2 linked regions of the Cricetulus griseus genome follow. The protein of the gene in region 2 purifies or fractionates together with the protein of the main gene of each other region. This does not show direct contact. Links are inferred from orthologs where the notes say so. Each region holds a gene or a part of one and is shown on either strand. Other genes may lie near its edges. The genes, in order: Wdr5 and Tcp1.

Evidence for each region.
Region 1: the proteins of Tcp1 (region 2) and Wdr5 purify together in Homo sapiens (affinity purification with mass spectrometry; 3 studies listed by BioGRID and IntAct, with this or other methods). This does not show direct contact. The link is inferred for Cricetulus griseus from reciprocal best matches to the Homo sapiens genes TCP1 and WDR5.

What each region holds. Positions count from the first base shown.
Region 1 is NC_048599.1:139,208,791-139,212,613, reverse strand, and holds part of Wdr5 (WD repeat-containing protein 5), read right to left. Parts: exon of another isoform or gene 1,094-3,823; intron 1,086-1,093; coding exon 1,010-1,085; intron 292-1,009; coding exon 258-291; intron 1-257.
Region 2 is NC_048595.1:288,140,952-288,143,985, forward strand, and holds part of Tcp1 (T-complex protein 1 subunit alpha), read right to left. Parts: exon of another isoform or gene 2,925-3,034; intron 2,834-2,924; coding exon 2,723-2,833; intron 2,364-2,722; coding exon 2,182-2,363; intron 1,603-2,181; coding exon 1,476-1,602; intron 152-1,475; coding exon 1-151. UniProt on the Homo sapiens protein: Component of the chaperonin-containing T-complex (TRiC), a molecular chaperone complex that assists the folding of actin, tubulin and other proteins upon ATP hydrolysis.

The sequences.
Region 1 (3,823 bases), on a different chromosome or scaffold from region 2:
CTGACCAGAGCCTAAACATATTCTGAACGACACATACAAGGGCAAAGCCCAGAGGCAGACTAGCCATTTATAAACCCACATCTTTAAAGGGAATTGTACCAAACTTGTGTATCAAAAGACTTAAGTCTTCTTTTGAAGGCTAAGGATAGGCTCTTAGTCTCTCTTGCTTCAACTCCTGGGTCTGCTGCACCACCCCTCAACCTGTTACCTGGGGCTGGCACACAGAAAGCCAGGCCAGCCGCGTGCCTGAAGCTCACCTTCCCCTTGCTGTAGTCCCAGAGCTTCAGAGTGCTGAAATAGAGAGTGGGAGTGAGGAGCAGCCCATTTTTGGCCCCGCCACGCCTCTGATGCCACCACTTCCCAACAACCATGGGTGTCAGGATAGAGGATCCATGGCACACAAGAGCAAACACAAGGACCCTAGTACTTGTAGTTCAGAGACAGACTGAAGAAAAGAGGTTGCTGGCTGTCTTCCCCAAACCAGGGGTTAGCCATAAGCAGAATGTAGAAAACCACGTGGGCTCCAGAAACATCTTCTGCTCACTCATCCTCCAAACAGAGGTGCATGCTGGCCATGGGAAGAAATGGTAGGCTAACCAGGATAACATCCATCAGGAGCTCTCAATAGGGGTGAGCAGGCAAGGTTCCTTTAAGACCCTATACAGTGTACCAGCTTACACGAGCACCTAGAAGGGGGTCAGAGGCTGAGAACTGGCTTAAAGCCAGCCTAGTATGTGTGAGGCCATGGGCTCCAGCCCCTCACTGAAAGCAAACAAACCAAAAGTCAATGAGCTCAGAGGCTCAAGAAGACCTTCAGAGGCTACCTGTCCTGCCTCATCTCTGTGTAGGAAATCTTTCTTATACTACAACTATCTGGAGTGGACAGCCTTTCTTCAGCCCCTCAGCCCACAGTCCAGGGCTAAGCACTAATACCCAAATGTAAAACACCTCAACTAGGCTACTGGAAGAGAGGAACCCCACCCATGAAGGTTGTGTCCAAAGCACTCACTTGTCCAAAGTTGCGGCCAGGATGTATTTGCCATTTGGAGAGAACTTCACAAAGGATACTGGAGGATTGTCATCATCTGCACAGAACAAAGACAGGCTGACTCTTGGCAGAGTAGAGAGGCAGGACAGCTCCCTGTCACCCATGCAGGAGGACATCTGTGTGAGGCCCCTGCCACCTATACTATTACCACTACTCCTGAAGGCCCTCCAAGAGCCTGCCATTCCATTTCCCATCACCTTTGTTGGTCATTCATGTTCTTAAGTCTTCACCCCTGTGCCCTGCTAATATGAGGCTTCACCACATGTGAAAGGAGGCCCAAAGCTCCCAGCAGAGCTGAACAATTGATCCCCTTGAAGAAAGCTGCCTAGCCTAGGGTAGTACTGCAGACACATTCCCATTCTGCAGTCAAGCAAGTCCTCCTTTCATGATGGTCATGCCTCTGCCTGCTGAAGACCAGGCTACTGACTTTAGCCTCAGCATTCAGTGAGGCAGGTGGGGAGGCTGCAGCACTGCTGAAGAGCCAGGCCTCCTAGAAACTGCCCACATAAAAACTATTTTCCAGAGCACAATGATGTCATATCCTCTTTCACAGTGGGCCCTTGGGGGGTCTGCCCCTTGCCTGGGTGAGAAAGGTGTGTCCTGGGGTGGACCTGCCTGGCCAGCCAAGGAATCATACCAGGCCCTAAGATGTGCATACAAAGACTAGTGCATCCTGACACACGCATTACCACCAGAGGTTCGCAGAGGGCTCTGTTCCGTGGGACTGATCACACACACTGAAAGGGACATGACAGAGTGAGGCCAGTTGAGGCCACAGAAGGCCATTCAGTATCAGTCAACATAGAACAGTACCTGTGCTTCTTCCCCAGGCCAATCTGAAACAGATTCCTAGAGAAATATCACTGACCTGTGCTAAGCAAGCCTCAATGATAATCTTAATTTCTAGCCAAGTGGTGGTAGCCCACACCTTTAACCCCAGCACTGGGGAGGCAGAGGCAGGCGATCTCTGAGTTCGAGGCCATTCTGATCTATAATGAGTTCTAGGACAGTTAGGGCTACAAAAACAAAACACAACAAAACAAAACAAAAACCAACCAAACAAACAAAACAAAAACTGTCTTGAAATGCCAACCCTTCCTAAAGAAAATCAGTTTTTAAACCCGAAGAGACACAGGGAAGAGAAAGAGACCTTGGGCCAAATAGGCCTGCTTACCTCAGTCTAGGGCTTACTGCCCGTTGCCTGCCCAGATTTAAATCCTTGCCCTGCAACCTGGTTGTCCACCACAGACCAAAGTTTAACCAACAACTGATATGCCTGATAACCTGAGTTCAGAACCCATGGTAGGAGAAGAGATCTAATTCCTGAAAACTGTCCTCTGACCTCGCATGTGTGCATGGCACACAGACACACACACGCTGTACGTATGTACTGGGGGATGGGGTAAGCACACAATACAGTTTTTTGTTTTGTTTTGTTTTTTGTTTTTGTAATAAAAACAACCTCACAGTATTTATTGTCACCTGATAATAACATAAGGGCCACGAAAACAATATGAATAAATGTTTCCGACTGTGCTCCCAGCAGAAGACACCTTTAAAAACACTGTACTTCCTCTTCCACTTCTCACGTGCCTGAGTTTCTAGTTGGAAACACTTTGGAGCAGAGTAATATTGTCTCCTTTCAACATGATTCGACCCAGTTGTTTCCTTAACTTTGTTTTAGAGTGAATCTCTTCTGCATCATCTAATACGAGGTTTATGTACTCATCAAAGCCAATAATACAGCCCTCTATCCGCATATTCACTTGCTCATATCACCACACCTGAATCTGAGACCTATTTTGCAAGTATCTGAAGATGAGGTTGATGGGCTGCACCATCACCTTCTGCACCTTCTGGCCCTGGCTGTAGTACGCCATGGTGGAAGTCACAAAACGGTTTTTTTTGTGAGTGTAGTAACTCTAGCATTCACCACCCTGTGTCAACCTCTTTGAGCTGCCTATGATGGCTGCACCTGAACTGGATATATACCTTACTACTTACTGCACATCATTCCAACAGTGTAGTACAGCAGCCACCTCCTGGCATCTGTTACATCCACACACCCAGTACTTTAAACCACCTCAAGAGTTAAACAACAGGAGGAATGCACAAGTCACTTGTAAATGCTGCATCATCTCAAATAAGGGACCTGAGCATCCAAGGACTTTGTGTTCCATGGAAGGTCTTTCTCCCACAAATACTGAGGGATGACGGACCTGCTATGCTGCTTCCCAGCTAGCTGACCTCTGTACCTAAGATGCTACCCTGTGGGCAGGGATTTTGTCCTCAGTTCACAGGGTTGCAGACGGTTACAAGGTGGTAACATAAGCACTAGGTATGTGTTGCAGCAGCTGCTGTATGACTTAGCACCAGAGAGGTACTGGTATAGAGGACTGGGAGTGGCATGTACAGGACATTACTACCCAACATCTGTGACTGCTCTGAGAAATCAGGAAGCCCCAAGGGTGGTTCCACATAGAAAGAAAAGCATAAAAGTCATTATCCACCCCCCCCAAAAGTCATTATCCCAGGGTGAACTGTGTCCCCAAACTCATGAAGCCCATCTAGAGATACAACAACTGGCTGATTTGGGGAGAATATCACACATGTGATGGTAATAGTGGGATGTGTTAAATGTAAGCATGTCATGAAGCAGTTGAGCACAGAGAAACACAAGGGTGTACATGACATCTGCAGGCCAGAGAAATGTTAGAAGTCATCCAGCTCATGCTTGTTGCTGGGCCACCTAAACTCCAATTGAGAATGAGTTCC
Region 2 (3,034 bases):
GAGATCCCTTTTTAGAACTCGTCTAACAGCCATGGCACCAGCCTCCACAAAGTACTTCAGACACATATCATCTATCCCACCAGTGGTCAGAATAACATTGGCCCCAGTCGCCAGAATCTTTTCAATTCTCTCCTTGGTGATGTCTGATTCTCTACAGAGAAATGTTTCAGTAAACCAAAATTAACAACTTCAGTATTTTAGATTATGCAGTTGTAACTTTCACTACAATTTGAGTTCTTAATTAAGGGTGGCAAAAAAAGGGAAAAAAACCAAAATGATAAACATCCCCCTTTGTCTTCTCCCACTTAAAGATGCAATAGATTTATTACTAATGATCATCCCAAGTCAGCATCACTAAAGCTGTATGAAGTCAAGACAAGAGACAAGTAAGAGACACACAAATCCAGTCCTACACTGTAGAATAAAAAAGTGGTTCAGCGCTGAACTAGAAGTTACATAAGACCAGGAAATGAAAACCCTTAAGAGGTATAAACAGTATATTCAACAGTAGATGGTGAAGATGCTTAATGTTCTGAAGCACAGCTATGATGGTCAAATTGCATTTTTTTTCAAATGAGCCTATGATTTTTGTTTTGTTTTGTATTTTTGTTGTTGTTTTTTTTGAGACAGGGTTTCTCTGTGGCTTTGGAGGCTGCCCTGGAACTAGCTCTTGTAGACCAGGCTGGTCTCGAACTCACAGAAATTCGCCTGCCTCTGCCTCCCGAGTGCTGGGATTAAAGGCGTGCGCCACCACCACCACCCGGCTGAGCCTATGATGAAAATGTCTGGAGAGATGAAAAGACTCCAGAGATAAGTAATCTATCAAGGACAGACAGCTTGACCAGAGTTCATCAGTGGACAATTCATTCATTGTTTGTTTTTAAAGACAGGGTTTATCTGTGTTGCCCAGGCTGTCCTGGAACTTGTTCTATAGACCAGGCTGGCCCAAACTCAAGAGACTCCCCTGCCTCTGTCTTCTGGGATTAAAGGCACGTGCCACCACTGCTTTGGCTCATTTGTGTACATTTCTAACAAGTGTCAGATGAACTCATCAGGAAGCATGAAAATCATAAGCAAATATATATGAGATCACAAATCAATTATTGAACCCATATCACATCTACACAACATATTGGTCAGTCACAGTCCAATTACACAATAGCAATCCCATCAGAGTAAAATGGAATAAAGCATGTCTGCTGGAGTGATGCCACAGCAATCACTACCAGCTGTGTCACACTATAGTAGTACATAGTATCTTACATGAGAACTATAGCAGCCCTACATAGTATCTAACACTCAAGGCAACACTCTGCTGCCCATGTTGACTACAATTCCTCAGCTTAAATGATCTACCTGTTTCAGACATGTAAAGATAGGACATGCCTGGCTTTACTATTATTTTGTATCATACTTCTACCAAGCACAAACCTTGATTTACAAACACCTTTTCACAGGCAAGTCTCCCCACATACCTCTGTCTAATTTGGTCCAATTTCTCAGGATCTGTAATAACCACCTGCACACCAAGCTTCATTTTTGTTTTCTGCAGGCTGAAGTCAAGACATGCAATTTTTGCATTAACTATCCTCTTGGGCATGCCTGTAAATGAATAAAAGGTTAACTATAACAATGCTAGGGTTCATAGAAGAGACTTATCCTTAAAACCATAACAGGAAAAGTTCACGTTATATATAAACCAAATTAAGATAGCAATTCATTAATAAAGTCTGACAGTTGCAAGTGCACACAATTCCTCTCAATCTATACCCACCACAAAATAAAAAATTGTTTTTTTTTTAAAGGCAGGGTTTCACTATGTAGACAAGGCTTAACAGTGCCTCAGTGCTCAAATTAAATGCCTGTATCACAATGCCCACCCTCATCACAAATATTACAGCCTATTAAGAGGTATACTAAGGGGCTGGAGAGATGGCTCAGAGGTTAAGAGCACTGACTGCTCTTCCAGGGGTCCTGAGTTCAATTCCCAGCAACCACATGGTGGCTCACAACCATCTACAACAACCATCTACAATTCAATTTGGTGCCCTCTTCTGGCAGGTAGGCAGAACACTGTATGTGTAACAAACCAACAAACAAATAAATAAAAGATGTATACTATGAAAAATACACAGATAGACAAAACTAAACCAACAAACAACAATGCTGACCCTTACGTACCCTGAGATCCCACCACACAGTTCAGTGCATAGCCATTGATCAGCATGCTTTCTACCTGACTTCTTCCATGGGCTTTCAGAATATTAACAGAATTGACTGGATATCGAGGCTGGCCTCTCAGATCTGTGTATTTGACAGCAAGTACAGCATCTACCACCATATTAGCAAAGAAATCACCATTTCTGAGACAACAGTTAAGGACAGCAATAGTCTTGGAATAAAAGACCCAAAGACACAAAAAGCAATTCAACTAGACTTTCTTTTAGCAAGACAATTCACCAATGGAAGACAGTAAGTAGTACTACTATAGTCAGGGTGACTTCCCTCTATGCAGCACCATCTGCACTCCAAACCACCCTCTCACCACAGCAAGGCTGGGGTGGCAGCAGCAGTTTCAGTCACTTTTCTCTAACAAGATCAAGTTGCATTAGATAAGAATTATAAATTTTATTGCATAAAATTGACATTCTATAAAAGCCTAGTCTAATTTTTAAGAGTGAAAGGGGGTTAGGGTCAAATTTCACTGAACATTTAAGGATACATTCCAATAATTTTGGAAGACATGGATGTCTTAGCGGCATTAATCAGACAGTCTCTTCCAAGTTCGTCTGTGTTAATAATTAGGTTCTCACTGATATAGCGCACTGCTTCCCTGGGAAAGGAACGGCAAAGAAAAATATAAAAACATCACTCAGAGGTTTTGCGTTTCACCACATCCAACACGCTGTGAAATATCGGGCGATGGTTTTATGTTCAGCCATTTCATATAGGGGGGAAGACACTGAAAAGCCCTCCCCCTTCAGATCATGGCACCTTTCATCTATCCCATAAGCATAGCCACTATAATCTACTG